Nothobranchius furzeri: one gene and its partners. The protein of the gene in region 1 interacts with the protein of each later gene in a pairwise test. Links are inferred from orthologs where the notes say so. Each region holds a gene or a part of one and is shown in the gene's direction. Other genes may lie near its edges.

Evidence for each region.
Region 2: the proteins of protein boule-like (region 1) and small EDRK-rich factor 2 interact in a two-hybrid assay, tested with the Homo sapiens proteins (2 studies listed by BioGRID and IntAct). The two-hybrid records come from large-scale screens. The link is inferred for Nothobranchius furzeri from reciprocal best matches to the Homo sapiens genes BOLL and SERF2.
Region 3: the proteins of protein boule-like (region 1) and zinc finger protein 385C interact in a two-hybrid assay, tested with the Homo sapiens proteins (2 studies listed by BioGRID). The two-hybrid records come from large-scale screens. The link is inferred for Nothobranchius furzeri from reciprocal best matches to the Homo sapiens genes BOLL and ZNF385C.
Region 4: the proteins of protein boule-like (region 1) and RNA binding protein fox-1 homolog 2 interact in binary tests that used the Homo sapiens proteins (3 or more experiments, as listed by UniProt). The two-hybrid records come from large-scale screens. The link is inferred for Nothobranchius furzeri from reciprocal best matches to the Homo sapiens genes BOLL and RBFOX2.

Annotation. Positions count from the first base shown.
Region 1 is NC_091754.1:47,836,559-47,840,667, forward strand, and holds the start of protein boule-like, read left to right. Parts: upstream 1-1,294; 5' UTR 1,295-1,596; coding exon 1,597-1,620; intron 1,621-1,933; exon of another isoform or gene 1,934-2,029; coding exon of another isoform or gene 2,030-2,035; intron 2,036-2,130; coding exon 2,131-2,277; intron 2,278-2,359; coding exon 2,360-2,451; intron 2,452-2,524; coding exon 2,525-2,579; intron 2,580-2,654; coding exon 2,655-2,730; intron 2,731-2,803; coding exon 2,804-2,961; intron 2,962-3,042; coding exon 3,043-3,111; intron 3,112-3,197; coding exon 3,198-3,350; intron 3,351-3,433; coding exon 3,434-3,505; intron 3,506-3,581; coding exon 3,582-3,620; 3' UTR 3,621-4,109. UniProt on the Homo sapiens protein: Probable RNA-binding protein, which may be required during spermatogenesis. May act by binding to the 3'-UTR of mRNAs and regulating their translation.
Region 2 is NC_091749.1:75,953,553-75,957,018, forward strand, and holds small EDRK-rich factor 2, read left to right. Parts: upstream 1-1,446; 5' UTR 1,447-1,597; coding exon 1,598-1,604; intron 1,605-2,181; coding exon 2,182-2,290; intron 2,291-2,491; coding exon 2,492-2,567; 3' UTR 2,568-2,900; downstream 2,901-3,466. Other genes in the region: uncharacterized protein, read left to right, coding at 1-7, 92-276. UniProt on the Homo sapiens protein: Positive regulator of amyloid protein aggregation and proteotoxicity. Induces conformational changes in amyloid proteins, such as HTT, driving them into compact formations preceding the formation of aggregates.
Region 3 is NC_091756.1:38,858,859-38,862,425, reverse strand, and holds part of zinc finger protein 385C, read left to right. Parts: intron 1-1,858; coding exon 1,859-2,206; intron 2,207-2,296; coding exon 2,297-2,499; intron 2,500-2,607; coding exon 2,608-2,706; intron 2,707-3,567.
Region 4 is NC_091752.1:66,506,527-66,510,093, reverse strand, and holds part of RNA binding protein fox-1 homolog 2, read left to right. Parts: intron 1-366; coding exon 367-540; intron 541-896; coding exon 897-950; intron 951-1,045; coding exon 1,046-1,138; intron 1,139-3,567. UniProt on the Homo sapiens protein: RNA-binding protein that regulates alternative splicing events by binding to 5'-UGCAUGU-3' elements. Prevents binding of U2AF2 to the 3'-splice site.

The DNA of each region.
Region 1 (4,109 bases):
GCCGAGGTGAAACGGACATTTTCTCAAGGGGACATCTGATCGGATATTCTTCTCTCTTACTCGGATCATGTAAAAGTTCGTCTCAAAGCTGCACTTAATGATCACCAGGGAACACAAAAGGATGTTTAGCTGTAAATGGCTGTAATTATCAAACATGCCCTTCTCATTTTGCACAGCCAGACCTCGTTGGCACATTCACCCGGTAATTAGAAAAGGCTGTAGATGAGTGACAAGTAATGGAGCTGCCCACATTACTCAGATGAGGGCGGTGATGGTGGGAAACACTCATGGCATGTTGCATTTTCTGTTAAAAAGAAACTCAAACATGCAGGTTTATGAAAATATAACAAAAATAGTTTATTTTACCTGTGAACTGTTTGTTGTGCAGCGGCTTTGTTGTGGCCTAAGGGAGGAGAAGGGAAAGGTGGGGGTGTGTAAATGACAGCAATCACTGACAAATTATAGCTCCATCAGACAAACATCCAAAGCAGACACAAGCTTTTAAAATCACCATTAACACCTCATGTTAATTGTTATTCCGAAGTGGGTGTTTGCATCAAAGTTAAAACTTTTGTGACATGTGAATAAAGTGAGGCAGAAAAGCAAAAACAAGATAAAGCTGTAAGGAGACAAATGCATTTTCGCAGCACTGCAAGTTGTCAAGTGGGTCGTTCTCAGCAGGATGCTCTGCATTAAATGCTTGAGTTTTGCACTGAACAACTGTTTTAATGTTCAACATAAATTAGTGATTTATCAGTATATATGAATATTTGGATATCTTTTGTGGCTCCAAACATTAATTGGTGAAATTAGATGGTACAAATCGTCATTTCAGCCACAAACATTTCAAACTTCATGGAAACAGAAACTATCATATTTGCAGTGAAATGTCGCCACTGTGTGGCAGGAAATTATACTGCAATAATGTTCATTTTTGCCCACGTTTTAACATTTGCTCTTCCTTTTACTTCTAAATATTTATTGCGCAGTTCATTTAATTTTTATTAAATTAATCTTACCGTGTTCCACTGAGACTGCATGGAGATAAAGCTTTGTACGTTAAAAATCAATCACAAAGTAAATTATTACCCAGAAAACTCGGCTGTTTTCTACTAAAACATTAAAAAAACAACTTTTAGACTAATTATTTAAAAAAATGCTTCAAAACAAGTATCACTTTGTGTCATTTTGTGTGGAAATATTCTAAAAAATGTTTAAATAAACTCGATTTGCTGAACGGAAATATTTGGCGCCCTCCAGCGGACAGAAAGTGCAGTACATTTCCGCTTTTGCGTTTAGCTTAGTTAGCTTAGCTTAGTTCGCCAAACTAACTTCAATACATTTTTAAACATAAAAAATATTGCATTTATAGTTATATCGCATTTGCATTGGGATTTTATATTATTTAACTTCTTCAGTGGAAAAAAAATACTTCCAACGTTTTATTTTGCCAACTGACGTCAGGGGAAGAGCCGTAACCTTGGAAGCAACCGTCGAAGTAGAACCGCTAAAGCGCTCGGTCCTGTTTCATCTCAGTTCCTGCAGTCTGCAGAGATTATTCATCTTCAGTCATAAACTACTCAGATTAACGCCACAATGCAGAGGGAAGACCAAGGCACGGTGAGTCCCGTCATTTATTTGCTAACAGGAGGCAAAGAAACTATCGAGCAAGTTGACAAATGGTTACGTTTGGATTTCGTCTCGTCAATAACAATTTTATAATTCAAGTTTAATTATACATTATTTTTTTAGACTTCTATTTTGTTTTTTCGATCGTAAAAAAGCATAAAATGTAAAAGTTTGACCCGTTTGCGGTGCTAAGATGCTAACAAATAAGCTACAATTTCAGGTTCAGACACGTTTTACCAACAGTTTCCGTTTTTTTTTTTTACTCTAAAATATGAACTCGGTTGTTTTGTGTTAAGAGAGACTGACGAACTAAGATGAAACAGGAGTTTTGTTGGCGGTTAGCTGCAGCTGACTGATGTTTACGCTTCCTGACCGCCGGTGACCTTGAAAAGACCCTTTTATGCTGGTTGTCTTTTGAAGAGTTAATAATGATTGTTTTCTTTCGTCTTTCTGATTTTTCCAAACCGTTGCAGCTTAAACCCCTCTTACTTCTTTTTGCAGCCGCTGTCCTCCCACCTCAGCAGAGGCACCTCCTTTCTCCCGGATGTCTTACTCCCAGCAGACCCTGCCAACGCCCCCAGCTGTCTCACCCACACCCCTGGCACCATCATTCCTAACGGGATTTTCGTCGGCCGGATCGGTGATGAGGTGAGGTTTTTCCGTCTCCTATACAGAAACAAGTGGTTTTAAACAGTAACGCCGTAAAAAATGCAGATATTTGTGCTTCAAGGTTGATGAAAGCGACCTGCGACGGGTCTTCTCGCAGTACGGGGAAGTGAAGGAGGTGAAGATCGTGTCACATCGGTCAGGAATATCAAAAGGGTGTGTGTTTGTGGTGTTTCTGACAGAATTCCAGTCATCCGCTTGTTTCCTGAGCGCTCTCCTCTCTGAACAGGTACGGGTTTGTTACGTTTGAGACAGCTGAAGACGCCATGAGAGTCCTGAGCCTTGTGAGTGGTCGGCTCTGCTGCAGACGATTGGGTTTGTGGTGATTTATCCAAACTTACTGGACTTGTTTCTTACAGAGGAGTGGGATCCGTTGCAGAGACAGGATCCTCCGCATCGCCCGTGCTATAAAAAGGCCGCAGGGCTCAGGAAGACGTGAGTCTGGAACAACCGAAGCGAACGAGCCGCTGGGTCAGACGGACTCTGTAACTGTTGGCTTTGTCTGCAGCCAGGAGAACCCACATGACCCCGCTTGGACCCGCCGTGCCTCAGGTATCCTGTGGGACGTTCGTCATGTCCACCTCCACAGGTTTCCCCTACACCTACAACAATGGGATGGCGTACTTCCACTGTGCCAACGTGAGCCCAGATGTGCAGTTCTGGCCCGTGAGTACGAAACCACCTTCACTAGGATGCGTCCGAAGCAGCTAACCACGTAAGGAAACACAGATTTGCTTTGGTTTGTAGCCGGCTCCTAACCTGATGCTGCCTCCGTCCCATCAGCACGTTCACCAGCAGCAGTACCACCACTTCCAGGTCCGTTCACAACCAGCGCTGCTTTCACTGATTCGCAGTCGTCCGCGTCCCCGTGCACCTAAAACCTTCTTTCTGCTTCCCTGCAGAATTTCCCAAATCCGTATCCGTGGAATACCGTGGAGGTGCCTGTGCCCCCTGGCGCAGTGATGTACCCTCAGCCGTCCGAGTATCTGTACCAGCCCGCTGATGGACCCCTCTTCCTGCCCTTTGGGCCTGTGTGGGAGGACGCTCCAGCAGAGGTCCAGAGTCTTCTAAAGACATGGCGGTCAGATATAAACATCTGGTTTGTTTCACCTGGACTTTGTTGTTCTCTCGTCTCTAGGTGGTGGACACAGCGGGGCCTCATGGTTACTCCAGAAGGACGCCAGATGTTCAGCGAGGCGATCCAGGAATGGTAAAGGAACATTCCTGAGCTGTAAGCAGCACCTGAAAGGTCTCACGTCTCATTTGTTTACCTTTTGTCTCCATAGCAACAGGTGTTTCCTTCTGCCATCGTCCCCCGGCACTAACGAAGCGTCTGAGTCCACGCAGCCACCTGATGTCACCACGTCTCACTCCTCCCTGCTCCTGAAGAGGCACGCGTCACCCTCAGCAGTCCACCTGTTCCACGCCTCCATCACTAAACCCGCTGACAGCCTGATGTGGGGGGGGGCGCCTCAAACAAAAGGATGCTACAGGTGCCTTAAATTCACAACCCCTCAAACATCAGTCGGATTAACAGAGATTAGAATAATCTCAGCGCCTTCGGCTGCAGGAAACAAGATCATTTCCAGGTGACTGTTGGTTTTAAAGTTATCGTTTGAGGCAGGAAGTGCTTCCTGTCAGATTTAATCACATCTTTTATGCTCGGTGGTTGCGGGGCTTCCCACCCAGTTAATCTGGGATTTTAAAGATGATAATCTAGAGAAACGTTTCAGATTTTGTCTTTTATCCGTCTCTGAAACACAAACACGACTGTTTTAAATCCTCTGTGGACAAACGGCTGATATTCCGTCACA
Region 2 (3,466 bases), on another chromosome or scaffold:
GGTACAAGTAAGTCGTTTTTGGCAGGTAAACTAATTGAACCAAACAGTGATAACTTGTGATATCAGTCCTTGTCTGTGCTCCGCTAAATAGGCACCCAAGAAGAAGCTGAAGCAACCACTCCCCCAGCACCACAACAATCTGGAGCAGAAAAAGAAGCATCACAATGTCAGTTGGATGTTGAGCATTTTGAGCCTAGTTTTAGATCCCTGTGTGATTACCTTATGGACAAGATGAAAAAGGATGAATCCTTCAAAGCCCCAATGACATCCGTCTGATCAGTCTTTACAAAAACACACAGACAGCAGTCTGATTTCAGCACTGTACGTTCGGGAGGATGAGGAGTGCTGCTGCATGTAAGATCAAACCGCAGCCATGAAAGGGTCTGCAGTGAGCGCACAGATCGGTGTGCAGCCTGCAGCTGTTGCTCGCCGTAAAACTTCACTGGGGGGCAGACGGTCACTCATCACTGGTCGACCTCCAAAGAGAGCTTGGAGAGAACACAGTTATGGGAAGGAAAAAGAAGGGAGTGGTGCACTGCCCAGAAGACTGGCACCACACTCCCTAGCCCAGTGTGTCTCTGCTGGTGTGTCCAACACTGTAAAAAAGTAATAGGCACGCCCTCAAATGTTCATCTAACCTTTCTCTGTTGTTTGCTGGTGACATAGCTGGCAGTTCAATATACTTATTCACACACACGCACACACACAGGTGTTCTGTACTTGTTCAATAACATCTGTGATGTAATCGGCATGGCGTATTTTCATGCTCATGCCTTTTGATAACAATTTGGAAATACGGGCTGAGGCTGTTAAGCAAGCAGGATGAAAGTGAGGACACGTCTTTCATGTGTTTAAATCTGCATCTTTAATTGAAATTAGTTCAAAGCTGATTATGATTTAAACCCTAACACCTTTTCAGCAGTTTTCATTATTCTAGAAGAGAAACAGACCTGCTGCACACGGCTGGGTAAAATAGGGCCGTTTTATTATATTTCTTACATTTCTCCTATGCACCCTGCTGTAATAAGATAACATCAGTGCTTTAGAGCCATAGACATAAAGTAAGTCCCACAGTGTGATAAATGCAATAAGATTTATAAGTTCACTTCTTACGTTTCTCAGTTTTTCAATAAAAGAAACAAAAAAAACTTTTGCAAAAGAGGGCAGAATGGCGCTAAGTTCTTATTTTCTTAAAAAAACAAAATAAAATCCCCAAAATATGTGTTCTGTTGGTGGCAAGAGGACAGTCTGCACTTAGCAAGGGAAGACGGTTTGCTGCTTCATTAAGTAGCCAATCGTAGTAGAGTCCATCTAGCCAATCAGTGGCGAGAAAGGCGGGACCTTCCTTGGACATCCTAGAATTCCAAAAGACGCACCCGGTACGTCACTTTTTACAAGGACCGAGCGTAACAGACGTGCCTGAGCGTGCGCACGCGCAGTTGGTGTGTTTGGGCGGAATGTTCTAGTTTCTGACTAGTTACTTTTTTCTGTCGGCGCAACCAGAGCAGGAAAAGCGACTGGGGAGACGTGCTGGGAGCCAGTGGCCCTTTGGCTGAGCTTATCTGGAATTTGACCGAAAGACACGTCGGTTGCTAAAATGACAAGTGTGTAACGACATCTTTATTTGGTCTTAAAGTGTTTAGATGATCGGCGCATGATCACGTTAACGTTTATATATGTTGCTGGGTCAGCTTGCTGTTCCAGCAAATAGACGGGGTTCATTGGAGTATTTACTGTTAAATGACAGTATCATCGCTAATAAATAAGATTTTAAACGTCATCCACTCATGAAGTGTTCGGTGTTTTAAGTTAAAGTGTATGTGTGTGCTTTGGACGACTTATGTAAGACGACTTCGAATCGGTGGGTCAAAGGGTTGTTTGGATGTTGGTATTAGCCCTGTAGCTTGCAGCAAGAACACAGCGGAAGAATAATCGAGTAGAAAAAGCTACAGATAATAAAATTTTTGTTTGAAGTGTTTAAAATTCTTTTGTTTTGTATTTGACTCCGTGATCGTGTCCATGCAAACTCGGCTGCCTGGATGCGGCTAAATGCTGGCGTTGGGCTGCTCTTCGGCGGCTCTGCCACGTCGGCTGCTCTCTGCTCTCGAGTTAGATTCATTACAGCCGCTTTAGAGCATCTTTACAACTGAATCCGCATTGTGTTTATTTCATGTTGTGCAGGAGGAAACCAACGTGAGCTTGCACGCCAGAAAAGTGCCAAAAAGCAAACGGAACAGACTAAAGGAAAGCGTAACGAGGACGGGCTTTCTGCAGCTGCACGGAAACAGAGGTAAACGACATTGAACGGAGGTCCACTATAATATTTGCTTATTGAGTCCTGTGGTCTAATTTACTGCCATAATGGTGTTTGTCGTATAGCTTTTTATATACAACTCCACTTATGTTCATAGTCATGCAGCATGAGTGTTTTTAAAACACCGTTTGTGTTCTGTCAAAGTAATTATTTTAATGTTTTGTTTTCCCACCAAAGGGATGCTGAAATAATGCAACAAAAGCAGAAAAAAGCAGACGAATCAGGCGGGAAAAGCAGCACAAAGTCGAAGTGAACGACACCAGAGATGAATCTGAGAACTCATACCTTCAGCTTTCTTCCTAATATTTATAACAATGAATTTCCCATTTTTGTCTCAACTCAAGTATCCAGGATTCAACATTCTTCCAAGTGGAAAATTACAACGTATTTGGATTTGTTAATTTTACATAGGGAAATTAAGACTATGGTTTAAGGCTTATTCCACTCTGGTGCTGCATGCAGACGAGCATCGGTGGTGTAAGCAGGTTAAAGCTGAACAAGTCTTGACAAACATGTAACATTTGTGTATTTTTGTACAAACGTGTTTCCCTCGCTGGTTTTGAATAAACTGTATCTTTTTAGTTCATGTTCTGAGTAATTCTTAATGTCTGTGGTGGACGTGTTTATTGGGGGGCGTTATGCCCGCTTCACACTGGAGGCATCAGCAGAGTGCAGTGGTTTACTCGTGACTTGAGTCAGTACACACTGGGAGAATTTCTGCCGCAGAGCAGCTTCTCTGCCGTGCTCCTCGCTGGACTTCACACACTTCACAAAATCCCTCGAGTCTTCAAAGATCACCCAATTTTATATTTACATCCCAGCAAATAATAGCCTGGCTGTTTTTGGTCAAATCAAAACTGGGTGAGTGTGTCGTTCCCCAGGTTTCAGTGCAGTAAGTCACAGGTGTCAAACTTAGACCCTCAAGATCAAACATATATTAACACTGGCCTGCTGGCCCATGTTGCCGGAAAGACCACAAATCCCATAGTGCTTTGTGGCATTAGTGAGTCAGCCTTGGACAAACTGGAAACCATAGATATGTATATAAACACACATGATTATGCTAAAAACACTCAGCACCAAGTTTACTCAGCAATTTGCCATCTTTGAAGGCCAGAAATGGATAAATCAAGCGCTCAGTAAGCTGAAAGC
Region 3 (3,567 bases), on another chromosome or scaffold:
ATAATCCACTTTTAAACATAAATTGAAACCAAAGCCCCCAAATGCATGTTTTCTTTTCTCGACTGCAGACAGGAGTCTTACGTTTTCAAGCATGCTTGTAGATTGTCGGATGCTGATTTGGGTTGTGAGACGGCTCAAACATCTGCAACCGAGCCGGTCTGATATGCAAATTTCCCTCACATTCACCTTTTTTTTTATCATGAATGATGATTCATGATTATGTTCCAGACGAGGGATTTGGTTAAGACAGCCGCAAATCACACAGTGTGATCCGGGCTTAATATGGAGTCTTACACCCACTCCCATGTATTTTAGACTTGATTTTTATAGTTATATGTTACGAAGCCACCAATGTTTTTCAACAACTGGGCATCATTAAAGAGCAAGCATGAGGACTGCTTGAAGGTGGATCAGAAAGCTCAGATTCTGAGGAGATTTGTGGAGTCTGGTGAGCCAGGGGGAGTGGCTACCAGATTCTTACTCAACTCCCACTTCCTGTTTGAAAAATGCAACAAATGCTGTTGCCTAGCAGACCAAGAGGGCAGAGCCGCAAACAAATACATACACACACAGGCTCACAACGACATTGTGACATCATATTGTACCAGCTAACATTCTAGGGTACCTCTTAGCCAATAGCGATGGCAGATTTAAATTCACCGACACAACACTGACAGTTTTAGGCAGAAAATTTTAATTTAAACGAAAATGCACAAAAGTGCAAAACTATTGACTGCACGTGTCTGCAGCACGATTGGACACACATTTATGTAGTTTATCAGAAAAAAACCTGATTTGGGGTGACTTGCTCTTTAAATTCATTTTCAACATTTGGATGGAAATTTCCAGAGATTAACAGTAAAAACTACACATTATCTCATTAAAACCCACAAATAAGTTATTAATCATTTTTAAAAATACACATAATTTTCTAATGTTTCTATTCATCTGAACTAATTTCTGAGTAATGACTCTGCAGTTTATGGTTTTACTTTCTGCCAGCCATCAGTCCTGTAGCTTCTCATTTTGTCTGACAACAAAATATCACCACCGTCTTTTCTATTCCCTCTGTCTGCTTTTCCTTTCCATTATTGATCCTCTGCCTCCCATTTTCTTGCAACACCTATCAATTTCCCCCTCGAAGCACATAATGATAAGCTTGTTACCTTCAGTGGTTGCCATGGTTGTTGATTGATGTGACGGTGGGAGATTGGGCAGAGAAAACCAACAGATGGCAGAGAGGCATGAGGACAAAGGAAGAGCGATTAAGATGACAGAAAAAAGGAGAAAAATATATGAAAATGCTATAGATGATAGAAAAAAGACAAGGTACAATCAGAGGGTGAGATAAAAGAAAATAACAAATAATGAACAAAGATCATGTGTATTTTTAAACTTAATCATATTGATTTCGTACATTTTATTCATATTCAATTTTAAAGGCTGCATGATTCATTAATTGCCAATAAATTTAATTAGGATAAATGTTGAAAAATAAAATAATTGAATGAATCTATCCATAAAAATCCTAGACCCTAACAGTTGCAGCATCACACAAGCATTATTTGCTTTTTATTTAACCCACAAAACAGAGGGCATATTCAAATTTCTCAACTGCAGTCACAAGAAAAGAGAAAATACAAATATATTTTTTTTTAATTTTAACAGTCAAAAATTTCTCTCAAAGTGTTAGTTTGGTCATTTAAAAAAATAGGAATCCAAATACAGAACATAACATCCATTTAACACCATTCTAAAGGTGGAATATGCAGAATCATTTTAAAAAGTAAACAATGACTGAAGGTTTAAAAAACTCTTTCTATATTTTAAGCAGCTTGTTTTTGCCCTCTGTTCACAGACTCCAGCACTTCATCCCACACAGCACAACAGCATCCTGAAAACACCCAGGAGTGCTCAGCAACAGCCCTGCCTTCATCCACAGACTCCTCACCACTCCCCCTGGCTCACCAGACTCCACAAATCTCCTCAGAATCTGAGCTTTCTGATCCACCTTCAAGCAGTCCTCATGCAGATGTGTGCAGCCCAGACTCTGCTTCAGCACCACACTCTGACATCCAAGGAAGCTCCACAGGAGGAGAGGAGGAGGAGACTGGGAAGGAGGCCAGGGAAAACAAAAAGCATCTTCACTGTCCAACCTGCAAAGTGACAGTCAATTCTAGCTCCCAGCTAGAGTCTCACTGTAGTGGTATACATTTTCATTTTACTACTGTGAAGACCCTTATCATTTGAATCTATGCTAGCTTACTAATCTCTCCCCTCTGGGTGGTTGAATCAGGGTCGAAGCACAAACAGATGCTAGACGGTCAGCACAGCCATCGTTCACACCGCAGAGTCAAATCGGGATCATCTCAGAGGCCAAAAAGCCGAATTAAACAGCAAATCAGGAGCAAGAGCAGAGCGGTGGTCGGTGTGACCAATCAGGCCTTTCACTGTGAGCTGTGCCAAGTGTCTGTTAACTCAGAAACACAGCTGAAGCAGGTAAATGGGTTGATGCATTATCGTTATTTCATTTACCTAATTTTACAACTGCTCTAAGTAAAGGATTTGTTGCTGTTGTTTTCTTTTTTTATCTTGTTTCTCTTTTAGCACATGAACAGCAGGAGACACAAAGAGCGTTTGGCGGGGAAGCCTGTGAAGACTAAGTTCACCCCCTACAATAAACTACACCCCAGTGTTATCTTTGCGGTAAGAGCCACGCGTGTTTCATTAGTTTTCTGTTAGTTCACGTTTGTGTTCAATTACAGCACCCGCAATTCATGCTCAAACTTGATGATACATTGGCCAGATGCAAGAAAAGGGATGCAACACCATCATTAAAAGATTTGGTTTAAATATTAATGAAGCAGAAGGATTTCATGGGTATAACTAAGAGCTATTTGCACCTTACTTCTCATTAGGGATGTAAGAAAAAATCAATACACTGAAATATTGCAATATTTTGTGTTATGATACTTAACTGATATTAGCAGTGTATCAAATTTTATTGAGAATTCAAATGCAAACTTTTACTGTATTTATTTCCTGTGATGCAATTCAAACTCTGGCAGCTAGGTGGCAGCAGATTTTACCAGCTTCATTCTGATGAAACAACAAGATTACTAAGCCTAAATCTCCTACCCTTTCAGCGCTTTGGGCTTCCTGACAGGGTTGCGGAAGGCGCTTTATAAATAAAGCTTTGATTGATTGATTGATTGATTGATTGATTGATTGATTGATTGATTGATACCCTTCCCATTGACTCATGGGTCCGACATATTTACTGTACAAATAATGTCCATAGACTCCATTTATAAGCTTTTGATTTAAAATGGGAGGTTCCCACCACCGCCATTTTGACCATGTCACACGTCTCGTCATGCCCAGACAGTGCCAAAATGGGAAAAGAGGTAGAGCTAAGGGTGGGGCTGTTACGGTTGGAAAAAAAATTGAACCAATGTAGCTACTAGCTAACTTAGCAAACCCAAGAAGCTCCGAAGGGGCTCCGGGAATCGGGGTAGCCTGCCCGCATGGCTGCCTGACTTTCATGAGAGGCTGTATTCATGCTGG
Region 4 (3,567 bases), on another chromosome or scaffold:
AGCTGAAGTTTCAGGTCAGATGAAACTGCTGACGTTAGCGAAAAGTTCAAAGCTCTGCTTCTTGGCCTCACAGAGCTGCTATTACGGCTCCACAGAAACTATTTAAACCTCATCCTCCCGTCAGAAACCAACACGCTGCTATTTTAGTCCGTCACACGCTTCTTCAGCTCACTTTTCGTTTGTTTTTTACGTAAACGTTCGTCTGCTGGAACATTTTATTGGACTTTTAGTGTCGCAAAAACTTGTTTACCTAACTTCCTGTATTTTATTTCTACACATGGTAAACACCAAAGTGTTATTTCCAAGTCCTTAATTCTCTTTCCTTGTCCCCCCCCCCCCCCCCCCCAATCTAACCAAACACCCCAGGTAAAGCTGGACGAGGCCGCTCAGGGTGAGGTGGGAGCTCAGTGTGTTGCAGGAGGAGCAGGAGCTGGAGGCTCTGCAGCAGAGTCCACGGAGGCGAAGGGCACCCCCAAACGCCTCCACGTCTCAAACATCCCCTTCCGCTTTCGGGACCCAGACCTCAGGCAGATGTTTGGGGTAAGAAACTTGGAATGCTGCGGGGCCTCAAACACGATCAATAAATCAGTCTAGACATCCTGGGTGCTCCGCAGAAGGGTTGCCTTTCTGGTGGCTGACAAAAGAGTCCAACCAGCAGAAAGAAAAACACCCTGAGGGGGTGGGGGGTTCTTTTAAGTTGTTATGTATGTCAGTGTGTTAGGGCAAGTGACAAAATGAGAGGAGGAATGGGACAGGGCAGGGTTCAAAAGGAAAACTCTGACGCTGGAGTTGTCTTTGGTGCAACAGTGACCCCTAGTGTTGAGTTGCTGCCTAAACTGTTACTTCCTCTATTATTGGCCTTATTTGTTAATTTGTCTAATCTGATGTTTTTGCAGCAATATGGGAAGATTCTGGATGTTGAGATCATATTCAACGAGAGGGGGTCAAAGGTAGGTGAACGGTAACCAGCTAGGATGTAGAGTCCTCCTTCACGGCGGTTCCCCGAGTCTCCATCTGTCTCTTTAACCTCTGCTGCACACTGCAGGGTTTCGGCTTCGTGACATTTGAAACCAGCGCCGATGCGGAGAAAGCCAGGGAAAAGCTCCACGGCACTCTGGTGGAAGGTCGTAAGATTGAGGTAATTTTCTCTGCCTTCCTTCTCCCATCAGCTCTGCCTGATCACCGACTGCTAGCTAGATCCATCCCATCCTCCCTGATGTGACATGCTCTGATGCAGCCCACTAGTATCCCACTCCCCAGTCCTTTGCAACATGTTTCCTGTTTTGTTTTCTTTTAATCCGAAGAGACTCGTTTCCTATTTATATCCAGTCTATGTGGTGGGAACGATCTGAGGGTGGTGCAAGAATACCAGATGAAAGCATGCTTCTCCTCTGCTGCGTTTTCACACTAACCTTTTAGATTTTACGTTTGTTTTTTTCTAATGATGCACAACATGTTCACACACTGATGCTAGAATGTCTCGTTCGACAGTTGGAATGATGTTTAGCTGGAAGCGGGGGGGGGCATGAGGGGAGCCCAGTGACAGGATGATGCATGGCAGAATGCCGTCTTATCTTCTTCCCTGGCGTGGACGTTTCTTGTGTTCCCCTCTGCTGGTGCTGTGGTTGTGACAGCTGATGGCTCCTGGTGCAGCAGCATGCTGGGACTCACAGCAACACTGACGCATGTTCACTTTATGGAGGGCTGGGTCCTTTCCAGTCAACTCTGTTTGCTTAAATGCATTAATTTTTTTTTAATTCAAATACATGTTGTTTATGTTTTTCTGAAGCATGTGCTGAGTGTTTGAAAGTGGATTTTTCTGTTCTATTTTGGGGTTTAAGTCAGTTGTTTATATGCAATCCCTCGACGGAAGCCAGGATTTGTGCATGGGCTTTCCTTTGGGTGTGTGCGGAGGTGTGTGTGCGTGCGTGTGTGTGTGCGAGTGAGCTCCTGCATGACAAATGAGGCTGGACGCTTCTAGTTCTTTTACTCTCACTTCTGTCGCAGTGTGGTTGAGCGCGAGAGACCGCCACCTGCATACACCGATACGACATGATCCCTCCCACCACCTCCACCTTCAGTCAATCAGCAAGCTGGGTGGATGCTGATGCAGCCGTCCTGCATCCGTCCCACCCGTGTCTGTGTTCTCTGGTTTTGTTTCAACCCAGTTCCTTTTATTTTTTCTCCGCATGATATCAGTCACTTTTCTCTCAAGCGGCGAGGGGTTCAGTCTTTGTTTTGAGTTGTCACATTGCATGCGTTCTGTCGTGCTCCAGTAGTGGTGATGGTCCGTAGTGAGTTGGGCATCAGCAGCATGGTGGACGCTGTGGAGTGTGTCTCTCTTTGTCTGTTTATGGTGCATGAGCCTGAAGAGACAAAAGGTTAGCGTGGGAGGACAAGCGATGGTGTTTATACATTCTTTCAACCCGAGCTGAAGAAGTTGGGCATTGCTATTTGAGGCGATGCTCCCGGGCAGACCCCCACCCCCACTCTTTCAGATGTGGCTTTCATTGGCCGTTTGATTTCTGTGTTTGCTGAAATGTGTTTTCAGAATTGGGAAGGCAAAAACTGATTTCAGTTCAACAGCACTGAAACACAGTCCCACTTGTCTGTGAATATGTTACTTTGCAGTTTATTACTATTCACTGGCATGGATTTAGCTAGCGGAGCCTGGGTGTGCATGGTTCATGTGGGTATTTGCTGCCTAACGGGGGCCGACGTGTGGACGGATCTACATTTGTTAAGCTGCATGTGTTGTATGACTGCTTTGGTGGATTATTTTTGACGATGGGGCACAAAATTAAATTTCCTTGTGTAGTTAGCATGAACTTTTCCTGAGTGTCTTTAAAAGGCCTTCAGAGAGTAAATCTTTATGAAGGTGGTTTTATTCTGCTCGGTGCATGCCAGTGGACGTTGGCTAGTTGCTTTTCTTTTCAATAGATGCCGGTAGTGTGCATGTCTGTAGCCTTGATGAAGAAAACGAGAGAGATTTGCTGTACCTAAAGTCACACTGTACTTTTCTTTGTCTGGGATAAAACTCTGCGCTCTGAAGAATTCAGTTTCCTGTACACTTCCAATGTGTCCATGTAAGTGGCCCAACTACAGTTCACTTTGTCTCCTACCTGCTTCTTTTTCATCCCATCCCACCATTATTCACTCTATATATAGAGTCCACTAGGCCTATATATAAGCGTGGCAGTGTGTGTCAGTATGCACCCACAAACACGCACAGTTCCTGCATCCTCGCGTGTCCGTGGCTGTCTCTGTTACCGTGTGTGTGTGTGTGCCAAAAACCATTCCACACTCATCATAGAGGGCATTTAGCCTATTGACATGATTTTATGGGTGAACGAAGTAAATGTAACGTTTATTATCCACGTCTGTTTTGTTTAGCTCTTAGACGACGTTCATCTGTGTTCTTGTTAGTTTATTTAAGCTGTTTGTCTTCCTGCAGATATTTGGTTTATTTGTATATCAGTAATATACAGTTAAAGTCAGAATTCACATACACTCATCATTAACATGATTGTAGTATTAATTTAGGTTTTAATGATGGATTTTATTTAT